Linked DNA regions of Oryctolagus cuniculus. The protein of the gene in region 1 purifies or fractionates together with the protein of each later gene. This does not show direct contact. Links are inferred from orthologs where the notes say so. Each region holds a gene or a part of one and is shown on either strand. Other genes may lie near its edges.

The links.
Region 2: the proteins of VASP (region 1) and PFN1 purify together in Homo sapiens (affinity purification with western blotting; 3 studies listed by BioGRID and IntAct, with this or other methods). This does not show direct contact. The link is inferred for Oryctolagus cuniculus from reciprocal best matches to the Homo sapiens genes VASP and PFN1.

Annotation. Positions count from the first base shown.
Region 1 is NC_091449.1:11,378,661-11,386,289, reverse strand, and holds part of VASP (vasodilator-stimulated phosphoprotein), read left to right. Parts: intron 1-510; exon of another isoform or gene 511-682; intron 683-4,167; coding exon 4,168-4,339; intron 4,340-4,420; coding exon 4,421-4,586; intron 4,587-5,210; coding exon 5,211-5,295; intron 5,296-5,594; coding exon 5,595-5,635; intron 5,636-5,736; coding exon 5,737-5,951; intron 5,952-6,066; coding exon 6,067-6,167; intron 6,168-6,527; coding exon 6,528-6,579; intron 6,580-6,651; coding exon 6,652-6,688; intron 6,689-6,808; coding exon 6,809-6,854; intron 6,855-6,956; coding exon 6,957-7,047; intron 7,048-7,441; coding exon 7,442-7,499; intron 7,500-7,628; coding exon 7,629-7,629. UniProt on the Homo sapiens protein: Ena/VASP proteins are actin-associated proteins involved in a range of processes dependent on cytoskeleton remodeling and cell polarity such as axon guidance, lamellipodial and filopodial dynamics, platelet activation and cell migration.
Region 2 is NC_091448.1:51,291,566-51,299,958, forward strand, and holds PFN1 (profilin-1), read left to right. Parts: upstream 1-3,915; 5' UTR 3,916-4,770; coding exon 4,771-4,902; intron 4,903-6,320; coding exon 6,321-6,513; intron 6,514-7,108; coding exon 7,109-7,206; 3' UTR 7,207-7,461; downstream 7,462-8,393. Other genes in the region: E3 ubiquitin-protein ligase RNF167, read right to left, coding at 8,033-8,346. UniProt on the Homo sapiens protein: Binds to actin and affects the structure of the cytoskeleton. At high concentrations, profilin prevents the polymerization of actin, whereas it enhances it at low concentrations. By binding to PIP2, it inhibits the formation of IP3 and DG.

The DNA.
Region 1 (7,629 bases):
GAGGAAGGGGCGCGGGGAAGCGTCAAGGTCACAGCCTTCGCCCCCTGGGACCCAGGCCTCCCGAGAGTTCGGCGCTCTTCCCAGGAATTTAATCCTGGGGGGGAGCGGCCCGAGGACCTGCCCTGGACTCCTGGGCTCACCTGAAGGCCGGGCCGGTGCGGGCTGGGGGGGTACCCACGGCGGCCCTCCCCGCTCCCCGCTCAGGTCCCCCATAACCTCTCCCGTGGGGCTGGAGTCTGACAATACTATCTCCCTTCCTCCACTCTCTCTGGGACTTCCTGCCCCGAAGCCTCAGCGCTGGGGGTGGGGGGGCTCCTGGGGACGGCTGGGGATTAACCCCCTGGTGCCCAACGTCCTGCCCTTCCCCCCGGGCCCCCACACCCCTGCCCTCTGACCTCAGGGTGGCATTCCTTTCTTGGGACCATTAAAGACCCCCTACCACCCGCCCCAGGGCTGTCTTTCTGCTAAAGGCTGGGTGGAAATTCTGGGGCGAGGGGGCATCCCCAGACACCCTGGGGACTTCCTGCCGGTTCCTTCCCCATTGCGGGGCAACATCCCTTCTGGGCCTGCCCCAGGGGCTGCCTGCTTCCCTCACCCTCTCCCCCCTCCCCCGGGACTCCGCCCCTCCCCCCCAGCGTTTCCGGTCCCAGGCCCCGTGGAAGGCGGATGGCGGATGTCCGAGGTAGGGCCGCCCCGCTCGCTGTGAGACCGACCGTAAAAGGGCAGGAGCAGTGTCTGGCCCAGCCCCCTGCCCCCGCCACCCCCAGCCCTGGCCCTCTCCCAGGGCCCCCTCCCGCTGTGGCTGTGGCCGTGGTGGGGCCTCCTACCTCCTGGGGGATGGCAGGAGTCCGACCCTGGCCTGTCCCACCAGAGGGTCTCCCCTGCTCGCTTACAGCCGACTTCCTCTCCGACGGTCCACGCCCCCAATCCCGGCCAAGGAGCCGGATCCTGCAGAAATTCCCAGGCCAGGGCGCCCCGGGGCAGGAGGCTGGGAGGGTCGGATTGCTGGCCACGGCTTGGCCGGGGGCAGCTCAGCTGGAAGGGATGGAAAATCACAAGACCAGTTCTTTCTCTCCTCTGACAAATATTTGTTGAGTGGGACCCGGCGCTGGGATCCTGGGGGAGGTGGAGAAGGGGCGGGAGCCGCTGGGAAGAGGGGCTATGCCTTAGCGGGGTAGCAGCTATAACTGCTCTTACTCGAGAGGCGACGGGAGACCAGCTGGTGAGCACCTGCCCGGTGTGGCCAGCCTGTCCCGGCTCCGAGCCGGCGTCCTGGCACAGTTTCAAGAGGCGGAAGCTGTTACAGCCTTGTAGTCACCCCTGCCCCCAGTTTGCAGCCGGCCGACCTCTTAGGCTGTCGCAGAGAGAGGACAGTACAGAGAAAGTGCGGATGACGCGTTTTCCTTGCACAGACACGCGGGATGGTCCAGAGGTGTGGTGGGGGCCTGCCTGGGAAGCCTCGCCTGCCGACTTCCCAGTGGGAGACAGGCCGCACAACCCCCAGAGACCCCCGGGCTGGGGGGCTGGGCCGGGGCCGGGGCTCCGGGTCGCAGGGCTCTGGCCTGGAAGAATTTGTGTGATTGTGGTGTCTGAGCGGGTGACCCCCAGAGGCGACTCATGGGCAGGGGGACCGAGGCGCTCACTGACAGACCCCAGGGGACCACTGGCGTCCCTCTCCCTGGCTTCCTGCCTGTGGGGTTTCCCGTCCGGCTTTTGCTGAGTTTATTTATTTTTTCCCAAACGTAATCAAGTAAGGAATTAGGTCTCCACAGGTCATCCCAGCCCCATCATTTAGCAAAAGGAAGAGTGAAGCGAGGGCCCCGTGCCCACGGCCCCCAGCCCCCAGCCTGCCTCCGCCTCCCGCCACAGCGTGTGACGCTGTTAGCAGCCTCCACACTTTTGGGGGAAAGACAGACTCTTGAGCCACCCAGCCTTTTCCTCATCTTTCCGTGAGGTTAAAACGTAAGTGGGCTTGGAGTAAGTGGGCTCGCGTCTTAAATGAGATCAGACAGGAGCCCCGGTGCTTTCGTGCAGTGTGACCTGGGCCAAGTGTCTTCACCTCTCTGTGCCCGGGCAGGCAGCGGGGTTGGTCTCCTGAGGCTGTGGGGTCGTGGGAGCCGGGAGCGCGGTCTGGGCCGCCAGCCACTGTGCCGCCGGGTTTGCCTTTTTACTCGGATGTGTTCAGAGCGTGTGCTAGGCGCCCTCCAGGTTCCGGGGACGCAGTGGTGCGCAGAGGGGCGAGTATCCCTGCCCCGCTGGACCTGGTGCTTTGGCAAGGCAGACAGGCGCGTGCCAAGCAGGGACGCTGCTGGAAACCGTGTCGCGGGGAAGCCGGAGGAAGATGAGGTGGCCAGGGAGGGCTTCTGGGAAGAGGTGACGTCTGAAGGGGGCTGCACCTGCACAGGGCTCGGGCAGGCCTTGGTCAGTGGGCGCTGGGAGAGGAGACTGGAGAGCAGGCAGGGCACCCAGGCCGGCAGGAACCTGGTGTGGATCCTGCAGAGTGGGGCATGGTGCTGCCCCTCCTCTGGGTCTCAGCCGGATCCCTGTGCTCTCACGGGGCAGGAGTCGGAGCCGCCCAGGGTCGCCCAGCAGGTGCCTGGCCCCGAGGCCAGGCCAGAGCCTCAGCAGGGCAGGGCCAGCTGGGAGCCCAAAGTACAGCCAGGGTGGGGCAGTGGCCCCGGGCGCCGGGCCAGAGCCTGCCCTGGGTGTGGGTGGCAGGTGTGGGCGCGGCCTTAGCCCTACCTGCCCTGCCGGGGGCAGTGGGAACCAGAAACAGCCCTGGAGGCCTGCTTCTCTGGCTTGCACCTGGTGTTTGGGCAGGGCCGGCGCAGTCCCCGGGGGGCAAGACTGCGGACCTGGGTTCGAATCCTGCCCCTGCCGCTGCTTTAGCAGTGTGTGCGGGGGCGCATCCCGGCCCTGGTCGCCTCTGAGCCGAGGGGGAGGTCATGTCCGCCCCAGGACTGCCGTGAGGGTGCCAGGCTGGGCCGTGTCAGTGGTCAGTGTCACACCCCAGCACCCGCCCGGTGGAGACAGAGCCTCTGTGGGTGTCATTCCCCGCCCCCCCAGCCGCCAACTTCCTCTTTTCAGGAAAAACCCACGGTGGGGGGCACCCAGCCGAGGCCGGCGCTTCCCCCTGGGCTGTGCGACCTTGGGCGAGTCACTTCCCCTGGGGGAGCCTGGGGTTCCTCATTGGGGGAGGGGGGCTCCGACCTCCCAGGAACGGTGGGAGGTCCCCGGCCGGCCACAGGGTGACCGCAGCACGGAAGCCGAGGCCGACCGGGCACCCAGCCCTCATTTCCCGTGTGCAGGCTCCGGCCTCGGGGCTCTGCAGGGACTTGAATCCACGCCTGCGGACGGCAGACTGGAACTCTGACCCCCTCCTGCAGAGTGGGCAGCAGGCCCCGCGTCCTCCATGCCTGTAGCCTGGGCGGCTCCTTGGTCCAAGCCCTGGGCATCACGGCCTAGGGACCCGTGTCTTGAGGCACTGGACTGTGAGCCCTGGGAGGGTGTGGCCAGGGCCATCTGGGCCACTGCTGTGTCATTGTCCCCAGTGGCACCCAACACAGGCCCGTAGTGCCCAGGGGAGCCGGAAGGATGCAGTGGGGGCCCGGCACCCCCTTGCAGTGGAGAGCAGGGGTCTGTGCTGTCCCCGGCCGGCCACAGGCCTCCCCTCCCCCTCCCCGACCTCAGCTTCCTCTTCTGCTCTGAGCAGCAGGGGGGGCATCCAAAACTTGGCAGAGAGGGAAACTGAGGTAGGGCTGGCCCCAGAGCAGCTCAGGGCACCTTCCTCCCTCCCCTGCGTCTCCATGTCTCCTCTTCCTGTTTCTCCCCATCCATCTCACACCCCCCAGGGCGCACTGGTCTCAGCTGCCCCCCGTCCAGCATCTTCTCTGCCTGGGTCTCCTGGGGGGGGGGGCTGTGTCACGCCCTCTCCCCCTCGCAGCGTCTCCCAGGGAGACCCTGGTGGCGAGGGTGACCCCGCCTCCCCTGCCCCTGGTGGCGAGGGTGACCCCGCCTCCCCTGCCCCTGGTGGCGAGGGTGACCCCGCCTCCCCTGCCCCTGGTGGCGAGGGTGACCCCGCCTCCCCTGCCCCTGGTGGTGAGGGTGACCCCGCCTCCCCTGCCCCTGGTGGCGAGGGTGACCCCGCCTCCCCTGCGCCTCCCGCAGTGAGATGGTCGTGTGCACCAGCCGGGCCAAGGTGATGCTTTACGATGACAGCAACAAGCAATGGCTCCCCGCGGGCACGGGGCCCCAGGCCTTCAGCCGCGTGCAGATCTACCACAACCCCACGGCCAATTCCTTCCGGGTCGTGGGCCGCAAGATGCAGCCGGACCAGCAGGTGCGCGTCCCCCCCGATCCCCCCCACACACTGGGGCCGCCCCCTGGGCCACCGCCCTCACCCCGCTTTCCCTGCCTCCAGGTGGTCATCAACTGTGCCATCGTCCGGGGCATCAAGTACAATCAGGCCACCCCCAACTTCCACCAGTGGCGCGACGCCCGCCAGGTCTGGGGCCTCAACTTTGGCAGCAAGGAGGACGCGGCGCAGTTCGCCGCCGGCATGGCCGAGGCCCTAGAGGCCTTGGAAGGTGGGTGCCGGCCGCCGGCTGGGGCCTCGGGTTACCCATCTCGAAAATGGAGCCGCTCGGTCGCTACTGTGGGACATCACAGGGCTCCTGTGTGGACTCCGGAGGACGCAGCCTGGTCCCAGCCCCCAGGAGCCCCCGCAGCCCGTGCTGGCTTCTGTCACCAGCCCCGGCGTCAGGAAAGCCTCCAGGCCTGCTCTCCCAGGGCTCACCTGGGGAATGTGGGTGGGGCCCGAGACTGCACAGCTCACAGCCCCCTGCGATGCCAGGGCTGCCAGCCCTGGACCTGAGGTCAGCCGCTGACCTCCGCTGCCCGCCCTGCCTCTGGGGTGTGGCATAGCCACTGTGGAACCGAAACTGCCCACACACAGAGGTGGTTGCGACTCCGGGCCCCCTGGCCACCCGGGGCTGGGCAGGACCGAGGGAGGCAAGGGGGAGGGGTCCACCTGGACTCGGCTTCCCCACTGTCCCCGGGCGTCCTGGCCGCCCTGGCAGGGGGAGTGGTGTCGCCCCTGCCCAGGGTCTGGGGGAGGAAGGAAGTGAGTGCCCCTGGGTGGGATTCCTGAGCCGGGTGGGGGAGGCCACAGGCAAGGCTGACCCCGGCTCTGTCTCCCCTGCCACCCCCAGGAGGTGGGCCTCCGCCGCCCCCAGCACCTGCCGCGTGGGCCAGCCAGAACGGCCCCTCCCCGGAAGAGGTGGAGCAGCACAAAAGGTAGGGCTGGCCCCTTGGCTGGGGGCCCTTACTGCCAGATTCTAGATGTCCCAGCATCCTCCGACGTCCAGTTTCCAGAATGTTCCAACTCCCCAGGGACTAGGAGTTGCCCGCTTTTGGGAGCCCCCACCTCTGAGACTTTAAGAAAATCCCTGGCGCTCAGAGACGCAGGACCCCCAGTCCCCAAACCCTCGTCCTGAGAGGACCCCGGGTGTCGGTGACAGTCTAGAACATTCCCGCGCCACCCCTTGGGCCCTGCGGAGGGGCCGGGGCGGTGGTGACCGCAGTCCCCCCCACAGGCAGCAGCCGGAGCAGATGGAGCGCCGCGTGTGCAACGCAGGTAACTGGGCTTGCGGGGGTGGGGGGCGGGCCGAGCCCAGAGCCCCCCCTGGAGGAGGGGCTGGCTCCTCTCTGAGCCACCCCTGCTCTGCCTTGTTTCAGGAGGCCCGCCTGCTCCCCCAGCCGGGGGCCCACCCCCGCCTCCAGGACCGCCCCCTCCGCCGGGTCCCCCCCCACCCCCAGGGCTGCCCCCGGCAGGGGGGGGCCCACCCCCTGCACCCCCTCTCCCCACAGCCCAGGGCCCCAGTGGTGGGGGGACTGGAGCCCCCGGCCTGGCCGCAGCCATTGCTGGAGCCAAACTCAGGAAAGTCAGCAAGGTGAGGGGCCCGCGGGGGGGGGGGGGGGGGCTGGCCCTGAGGTAACAATGGGCTGGGGGCTGCCTGTCACGGGAGGCCCACCCGCAAGCCCTCTGCTCCCTTTTACCGTCCTCAGCAAGAGGAAGTCTCAGGGGGGCCCCCGGGCCCCAAAGCTGAGAGTGGCCGGAGCACAGGCGGGGGGCTCATGGAGGAGATGAACGCCATGTTGGCCCGGAGGTGAGCCTGGGCCCACCCCCCTGCCTGGGACCCCAGCCCTGCAGGCTGGCGGGGGGGCGGGGGCGGGGGGCGGGCTCTGGTTCCTGTTTGCTGCTTGTGCTGAAAGCCCTACCTGTGGCGCCTGCGGAATGTTCTAGAAACTGACTCCTAGGATTTTAGTTCCCAGAGTCCCTTCCCCCCTTAGGACGTTAGGGTTCCAGATGTGAGGGCCACAGGAAGACCCCCCCCCATCCCAGCTTCCTTAGCCTTGGCCGTGCAGCCCCCCCCCCCCCCACACACAAGGGCCACTTTCTAGAACCCTGGGCCCGCAGCTGCGAGTGGGGGGGCTGAGGCTTCTCTTCTCGTCCCTCCCTCCCGCAGGAGGAAAGCCTCGCAGGTTGGCGAGAAGCCCCCCAAGGACGAATCTGCCAGTGTGAGTGAGGGGCTCGGTGGGGTCCCGGGGCAGCGTGGCGGGGCTGCTCATGACGGTTTCATTTCCTGCCAGCAGGAGGAGCCAGAGGCCCGCGTCCCGGTCCACAGCGGTGAGTGCCGGGCGGCCCGGGGGAGGGGCGGGCCTCTCCTGGGGGTTTCTCTGCAGAGGGGCTGCTGGCTGGGGGAGGAATCCTTTGCCCTGACCTTGCGGTTTGTTGCCTGCTCCCCAGAATCTGTGCGGAGGCCCTGGGAGAAGAACAGCACGACCTTGCCCAGGTGGGCCGGCGGGCGCGGCGGGCGCAGCGGGCGCGGGGGGCGCGGCGGGCGCGGCGCCTCCGCGGGTGGCAGGGCCTCTGACTTCGCTTCTGTCCCCCCCAGGATGAAGTCCTCGTCTTCGGTGGCCACCCCCGAGGCCCACCCCTCCCACCACAGCTCCGGTGACGACTCGGACCTGGAGCGGGTGAAACAGGTAGGGGTGGAAGGTGCAGGTGGGGGCCTAGCCAGGGCCCACGGCAGGAGGGGCGCTGGGTCCAGACCCTGGGTGTCCGGTCTGAGAAGGGGGAGCCATCGGCGGGGTCAGGGATGACGCAGGTGCCGCACCCCTTTCAACGGCTGTGACAGGCCTTATAATCCATCACCACACTCCTTTCCGATGAGCACCTGAGACCCCGCCGGAGCTGGCAGGAGGCTGGGAGGCGTTTGCCAGCCTGTGTCCTGGATGCCCTCCAGTTCTCTCTGTGACCTTGGCAGGGAGGGCGGGGCCGGGCGGTCTCCAGCCCGCTTCCTCCGACTCTCAGCGAGTGGGAGACAGGGGGCTTCCTGCCGCTCCGGGCCCCGCCCACTGGTGAACCCTGTGGTTCCAGGAGCTGCTGGAGGAGGTGAGGAAGGAGCTGCGGAAGGTGAAAGAGGAGATCATCGAAGGTGAGGCGCCTGCCCGCGCCCCGCCCCGTGAGGCGCCTGTGTGGTTTGGAGGCCGCCTGTCTTTTGGGAAGATTGGAACGGAAGGGGAAAGAGCCCCTGCCCTGAGCTTTGCCCCCTCTTTCCTTCCAGC
Region 2 (8,393 bases), on another chromosome or scaffold:
ATGGGCTCTGCCGGGCTCAGAGCTGAGCTGTGTGACTAATCACTCTCAGTATGGTTCAGGGTGGTCATCACCGCACGGGGAATGTGTAGGTGGACTCTGTCCCAGAGTCAGCTTTTCAGCCTCAAGCACAGGGAGGACAGAGGCAGCTGGAGACCGGAGGCAAGATGGCCAGCCGCTGGCGACTGGGTCGCTCTGCTTGGACAGGTAGGCCACCGTCTTTGCCATGGTCCCAGTGTTGTGTCAGAACCCTTAGTGCTTGTTTACCTCTCCCGTGTACAGAAATGTTGAAGGGCTTGGTCACATCTGGGAGGCCGAGGGCTGGGGCTGTCTACGTGGCAGCCTTACGGGTGTCGAAGGCCTGACGATGTTCCTCTGTGAGGACAGAAAGGGAAGAATGCAGTCCTCACGAGGAGCTGGTAGAGAGGCCTTGCAACCAGCGACAACCCAGGGACCCCGATGCCGCCGTAGCCTGCTGTCCTGAGGGGCTCAAGGCCGTGTGTGCAGCCTTTGGCCTTGGGGATGCCGCACACTGCCCGGGGCTCGTGTTCCTGGCGAGCTCCCAAATCCCAGGTATTGAACAGTTTGACTAGTTACCTGGGCCTTTTTCCAGGACACTTTGGAGCCTGCCTCTTCTCGCAGCGCTGGGAGGGCCCGTGCTTCCTGGTCGCAAGCGGCCTGTGTGGCCAGCGGAAGGCCATCAGCAGACTGTGGAACTGTGGCTTAGCGAGTCTGCAGGAAGTTTGTCAAGGTCTGTCGCCAGGGCTTCCACAGAGAGGGAGAATTTTTGAATCCCTGCGGCCGCCCTGTCGAGGTGAGCTGTGTTTTCCTGCCCTTGGCAGTGTCCTCCCATTCAAAAGCGAACAGTGGCTGGTGGACGGGGGCCACTCGTAGAGAAGAATGCATCTTTTGAATCTAGACAGGTGAACCAAAGGGCCTTCCGTGGAGCCAATCCCCAAGGGGTGTACAGGTTGGGAACTGCCGGTGTGGTGTGACCATGGCTGTTTATGGCTCATAGGTCCCAGACTGCCTGGTATCCCGCACCTCCTGGCTGCTCAACTGGGGACAACGGAATGTGCCATTGAGTCGCACGTTCAATCAAGACTCACAGGCGGGTGATGAGTTCTTTGATCCCACCCTGGCCTCTCCGGGTGTGGGGCTGCTCCCGGCTCGAGGTCAGCTATGAGGGGTGCATGGTTTCTGGCTAGACCAGGCGGGTTGTCCTCAGCCCAGACCCGGGATTTTCCCTCTGGAAGGCCCCTGGATTGGCTTCAGGGCCTTTTTTCTCCCAGGTCTTATATTCATCCTCCCGGCATGAAAGAGAAGAAGGGCAGGGTCTCCAGGTAGGCTGCTCGCAGAGTCAGGGGGTCTGGCCCCATGGGCCCTGAGTTTTCTGAGGACATCCTGTCCTTGGAGAATGTCATAGGGCACCCAGGGATGTGGAGGAACTCATGATTTATTTAATGGCCACCCAGGGTACATGTCGTGCCTTGAAGAATGTTTTCTCAGTTGGGCGCTGGTCGCCCTCACGGATGAAACAAGGACCAAAAAGTCTTAGATCCATGTTGACCTCTCACCTGCACAACAAGCAGGCTCCCAGTTCTCTGCGCTGCTAATGCAGCCCCAGCCTGCCCTGACCAGCCCTGCTCTGCCCCTGCTGTTGGACATATCACTGTCTAGCAGTCCAGCTGTCAGCCTGAGCGTTCTCCCCCAGCTCAGCATCTCAAAGGACCTTTCGCGCCAGCCCAAGCTCTCCCTCTCTCTCCCCAACCCCCTTCCTGCCACTCTGTACTGTGTAAACCACTAGTCTGTAAGGGAGGGGCTTGCTCTCTGCGTGCTCCCCTCCCAGGCTTTATTCTGAGTAAACCTGCTCTGGGGGCTTCATGCTCGGGCCCCTTTTTCCTGACACCCACGACGATGACAGTCTCCTCTCCCAGTGAGTTCCCACCGAGTGTTCAGCTCCAGTGTCCGTGGTGTCCGTCACTGAATGATCTTCTGGGGGGCCAGCCAACATGATTTTTTTTTAAAAAGCTTTATTTAATTGAGAGGTAGTTACAGACAGAGGAAGAGATAGAGATCTTCCATTCACTGGTTCACTCCCCAAATGGCTGTAACGGCTGGAGCTGGGCGGATCCAAAGCCAGAAGCTTCTTCTGGGTCTCCCACGTGGCAGCAGTCCAAGCACTTGGGCCATCTTCCACTGCTTTATCAGGCCATCAGCTGGGAGCTGGACTGGAAGAGGAGCAGCAGGGATTCAAACTGGCGCCCACATGGAATGCCCCCGCACCACAGGCTTAACCCACTATACCACAGCATTGGCCTCACCAACCAACATTAAAAGAAGGACATTCAGTTGTCCAGAGCCTACCACGGGTTAGCGTCATCCTCACTAAAACCCTTTTTGAAGTTTTGAAGGGGGCTGGCACTGTGGTGCAGCAGGTTAAACCACCTCCAGCAGTGCTAGCATCCCATGTGGGTGCCAGTTCGGGTCCCGGCTGCTCCACTTCCAATCCACCTCCCTACTATTGTGCCTGGGAAGGCAGCAGAGGACAGCCCAAGTCCCTGGGCCCCTGCACCCAGCTGGGAGTCCTGGAAGAAGCTCCTTGCTTTGGCTTGGCCCAGCCCGGGTTGTTGGAGACATTTGGGGGGTGAACCAGCAGATGGAAAATTTCTGTCTGTAACTGCCTTTCAAGTGAATAAATAAATCTTAAAAACAGGAATAATACGTTTTTAAGCACGCCGTCCAGCACAGTGGCCTTAGAGTAGGACCCACCCATCTTATGACCTCCCTGTGAGCAGGGCTGCAGGACAAATGAGGGGCGGTGCCTCCAATGGGAGACCACTCAGACCTGTCCCACCACCTCCCTCACGGGAATTTAAGGGCCTCTGCGTCCTTAACTCCCTTTCCGCACCTAAGAGCCATGTGAGGAGCACCACAGAACCGCTGTTTCAGACCCACTTGAGACCCTGGCTTGCCCCGGGGGGTAAACACACTCAGACCACTAGTGCGCCCAGGAGCCGCTGTACAGTCACACATAGCGTCTAAAACATTCCCTCCCTCTGAGGGTCAGACCTAGCCTGAAATCCAATAAAGGATTTCCCGGGGCGGAAGGGGGTCCCCCGCCTGCCCGCAAGGGCCGGCCGCTCAGACTTCAGTCCCCGGGCACTCTTACCTGCTCCGACGGTCCCGGGTCTCCGGGAGCCCGCGTGGGCGGCAGCGGCCACCTTCGCCGCCGAAGGGCGGACTCTTCCGCCCTCAAAGCCTAGGGGGTGGCGCCTGGCCGCCCGGCCAGCTGTGGTCACCGCTGCCGCGTCTGGACCTGGAGCCCATGGCTCAAAGGGCCAACGCGCCCAATGGGACCGCCGAGAGACCGGAAAAACCAAGCGGCACTCGGACTTGGGGGAGGAAAGGCACACAGGGTATTACGCATGCGGACTGGACTCCCGTCCCACGTGTCGAGCCCCGATTTTCAGCTCTGCTTTGCTTTTACACATTTTTAAACCAGGAAGTTAAAAGTTACAAGGCAGTCCACGCAGCACGCAAGCATTCAGATAACTCAGGCTCGCAGCTGCGTTTCTCAAGAGCAACCTAAGCCAAACCTGGTTCGGAAACTGTTTGCTCTGGGTGCGGTCGAGCAAGCGGAGTTTAAAGTCCCTGAAGTCAGCAGCAGCCTGTCCCAGACAGAGCTGGCCAACCTAAGTGATGGGGGGAGCGGGGAACACCCCGAGAGGGCCCCGACAACGGGACTAGGGGCACACTGCTGGCCCGGAGCCGGCCGGGGCTAGGCCGCCGGGTGAGGCCCTGGGCCGGCCGGGGCGGATCCAGCGAAGCGATGCTGCCCCGGGGAGGGATGCGCGCTAGGCGGGGCGCGGCCCGGCCAGACGCTGGGGACAAAAGTGCCCCCCGGTGGGTGACCGCGGCGCTGACCACGACCGGGACGTCTCATCAAAATGCCTCCTTAATTGCTTGAAAAAAGTAAAATTAGGAGGGGAGCGGCGGTCGCCCGCACGCCGCGGGGCGAGAGACACCACCCCGGCGCGCCTGCCTCCCCACAAGGGTCCGAGGCGGTCCGGCCGGGCGCGCGCCCGCGCAGACCGGCCGCCGGCCCCAACCGCCGCACGCGCTCCCGCGCCCGGCCCGGCGCAGGCGCGGACGCACGCGCCGCCGCCGCCGCCGCCGCCCGCCGCCCCTTCCCTCCGGCGGAGGTGGGGGAGGGAGGAGTCGTTCCGTTTAACCCCGGGTTCCCCGCACTCGCTTTGCTGCGCCCAGCTTCTGGCCTGCTGACTCTTGCTCCTCTCTTTTCCTCCCTTCCTTTTCTCTGGGCTCACTCCCTCGGCCGGTACCGAAGTGTGGCTTCTAGCAAATGCGAGCGCGGAGCGAGCCCTAGCCTTAACCTCTCCCCATCACACCGGCCTCCCCCCGCCCCATCCTTTTACATAGCTTTCCATCGAACTCTGCACATTTTGCAGTAGGGGGAGGGATTTTTAAAATTGCATTTGCAAAGTTCGGTATCTGGGCAGGCAAGGCGGGGGGGGGGCAGGGAGGGAATGGGGAGCAGGCCCCGCCCCTACCGCCCTTTGCAAATAAAAATCTAGGGGGGGGGAGGAGCAGGAAGTGGCGGTGCGAGGGCTGCTGCACAGCTAGCAGAGCCGCGGTCCGGACGGCAGCGCGTGCCCCGAGCTCTCTGCCTCCCCCCGCCCGCCAGCCCGAGGCAGCCCGAGCCCAGCCCGCGGCCCCAGCAGCAGCGCCGAGAGCAGCCCCAGCAGCAGCGCCATGGCCGGGTGGAACGCCTACATCGACAACCTCATGGCGGACGGGACCTGTCAGGACGCGGCCATCGTAGGCTACAAGGACTCGCCCTCCGTCTGGGCCGCCGTCCCCGGGAAAACCTTCGTCAACATTACGGTACTGAGAGGCCTGCGCGATCCGGGGCACCGGCCGGGCGTGGATCCCGAGGCAGGGACTTGGGTGGGGGCGGGCGCGGTCTAGGGAGGGCAGCGAGAGGCCGCGACCGGCGCGAATGGCGGCTGCACGTGAACAGGTCCCTCCGTGGCCGCCCAAGTCCTACACCCCGGGCGGCGGCGACCATTGCGCCCGCCGCCCCGCTTTCCGCGACGGGGCGTTACATCCGGGGCACAGGGCGGGGAGGGGCGCGCCGCCCGGCGCGGCGGCCCACTTCCGCCTCGTCCAGGGCGGGGCGGGCACGCGCTGCAATTTTCACCAAGGATTGTGATTGAGGAGGGACTTGGGGACCCCCGCGGGCCCCCTTCCGGCCACCAGCTCGCGCCCCCCCACCATTGTTCCCCCTCATGCGGCAGGGAGCCCCCGGCGCGTGGCCTTGGTCCCATGCCCGTCCACCGTGGGCTCCCTGCCCCTCCCGACTCCGTTAGAGAGGGCGAGGCCGCCACACGCCCCCCCCCCCCCAGCTCGGCACGTTGGGCTCCACATTCCTGGGAGGCCAGTCCCGGAAGTCCCCTCGCCCGCCCTTCCCGCCATCCGGCCGGGCCTAGAGCGAGGGAACTTTGTGAGAACTTCGCAGATAGTGTGAGTGAGGGAAGGAGGGATGGCCACTGCTGGCTCCACCGCCACCTCCCTGGCCACACTGCCCGGAAGTGGGGAGGGGGAGCGGAAGTTCAGAAGGGGGGGAAGGGGATTTCCGGGCGGGAGGGGACCGGATATGGGGGTTTGGGGTGTAAAGGGGGAGGGGGAGAAAGGTTCCCTGGGGTATCTAGAACCGGGAGCCGCTTGGCGAGTCTGGCCCCCAGCCCCCTTCAGAACTTTCCCAACTTTCCCCCAGAAAGCCCCCGGGGGCTGCTCCCGGCTCGCAGGTCAGCGATACCCAGGCCTCGACTCTAGGTTCCTGGGAGACCCTGGCGTCCGGGCCCCTAACAACTCCTGCAGAACCTTTGACCAAATAAGGGCAAAGTTGCCTCTCCTGCCTCGCCCGCCCCCTCCCTTCCCCTCTCCGCTTCTGCTTTTCCTGACGGAGAGTTCTGAGCATCCAAAGGCTCCCCGCTCTGCTCGCCGCCTTCTGGCCCTTTTTATTCCCTGGGTCTGCTCTCCGCATTCAGCCACTGCGCTCTGAGCCTCCAGGGGACCGTGGCATCCCTTCCTCCTGGTCCCGGTGGCTGGGTCTGAGGGCCATCTGTCTGCACCAGCTGGAGTTCCTCCTGAGAGTCTCACTGAGGGGATGGAAGCACAGAACACCTCATCCTTTCCCCAGCCCGGGTTCCAGCTCCCACAGGGGTCGAGGGCACGTGGGCTCACAACAGGGTGGGAACCTTGGGGCACTGACTTAATGGGTGCTTGGTTCCCCCTTGCAGCCGGCTGAGGTCGGTGTCCTGGTTGGCAAAGACCGGTCAAGTTTTTTCGTGAACGGGCTGACACTTGGGGGCCAGAAATGTTCTGTGATCCGGGACTCGCTGCTACAGGACGGGGAATTCACCATGGATCTTCGCACCAAGAGCACCGGCGGAGCACCCACCTTCAACGTCACCGTCACCATGACTGCCAAGAGTGAGTGGAGTCTTACTCCTTTTAGCTCTGAGATCCTTAGCGTGCCCCCCTTCTGCTAGTCCTGTGGGTTCTTTCTCTGTGTGGTTCCCCTGCATGAAAGGGTCAGACCGGGGTTCTCCCAGTGTGCTGGGACACTGGTTAGTCCCCACCCGTTCTGCCTCAGTTCCTCATCGGATACAAAGTTGAACTGCAGTACCTCTTAGGTTCCTCCCTCTCTTGAGCTGTTCACACTAGAACCTAGAACCGTGTGTAAGAGTGTGTAGATTGTTGGTCTTCAGCCAGCATTTAGCTTTCACCTTTTGGGTTCTTTCGTTTAAAAAGTTTATGAAGTGGCAGGCTCATACACAGCCATTTGTAGCTTGAACACAGCCTGCAGCCTGAGCCTCAGACCCCTAAATTTGGGTCTGTTCCTCTCCAACATTTAAGCACACCCCCTCCCTTGAAAAGCCCTATTGTTTCAGGGTGACTGACAGCCTGCCTGTGTGTGGGGGGTTGGGAGGGTGAGGTTGGGTTACAGCCTCCAGGGCTGGACAGCTGCTGAACAGCTGGCAGGGTGGGCTGACACCTGGGTCCTGGCCTCCTTTCTCTTCTCCAGCGCTAGTCCTACTGATGGGCAAAGAAGGTGTCCATGGCGGTTTGATCAACAAGAAATGCTATGAAATGGCCTCCCACCTGCGGCGTTCCCAGTACTGACCTCGTCTGCCCCTTCCCCTCCACCGCTCCCCACAGCTTTCGCACCCCTCTCCTTCCCAAATACACACATACACCATTTTTATTTTTTGGGCCATTATCCCACATCCCTTATTGCTGCCAAAACCACATGGGCTGGGGGCCGGGGCTGGATGGACAGATACCTCCCCCTACCCATACCCCTCCTGTGTGTGATTGGAAAACATTTTTTGTTTTTTGGGGTTTTTTTTTTCTGAATAAAAAAGATTCTACTAACAAGGTGCTGTGTGATTTTGAGCATGGGTGTTAGGATGAGGGATAGGCACTGTCTTGCCTCTTTCTCTGGGCTTGGGGAGAGGGTGAAGCACCGGAACCCCAGACTGGGACGAGACTCTGCCTCAGGTCTGCCTGCCTAGCCCTTCCACGGCCTCGGTTCTCAGGCACGCTAGTGGAACTGGTGGGTGACAGAACAGAGCCGTCCAGACGGAGAATGGGTCCAAGCCTGCGGGTAAGGCAGGGCCAGTTGAGTCATCCTCATGTGGGTGGGGCTCCCCCTCTGAGTCACAGCAGATGCCTGCTGGGGCTGTCCCTATGACTACAGGTTACTCCTCCCAGGCTCCCTGCCCCCTTCACAGTTCACCTCTGCGACAATAATCTATCCTTGGTCCACAAAAACAATTTTATTAACCCAAGAAGTGAAGATCCAGTCCCCTCGCCCCTACCCCCTCAAAGGATGAGGCTGGGTAAGGGAGAAACCCGGAATGGAGAAGTCCCCTGTCCCTCAATTTAGAAGAGCAGAGGGAACAGGGCCTGTGCAAATAGGTCGCCAGAGGTTTGGGAGGGGGAAAGACTAGACCAGGATGGCGGGCAAGGAGGAAGAGGAGGAGGGAGACGGTGGGGCATCTGTTGAGGGCCCAGGAAAAATGAGGGGAGCTGGAGCTAGGGAACCAAAGGAGGTGGGCAGAGTAGGGCTGGAGCCCAGGAGCGGGGTCCGCTCTGAGGCAGGGTGATCTCTTGGCTCCCCTTCCTCATCGCCCTCCTCTTGCCCTTGAGTTTCTTCCTCCTGCTCTTCATCTCCAGGACCCCGATGCACAGGCTGCTTGCAGATGGGGCACGTCTTCCGCGTCTGAGTGAGCCAGGGGTCCACACAGCGGCTGTGATAGGCTGTAGAGGGGAAATGAGGTGAAGTGGCTGGTGCCTGCTGCCTACGG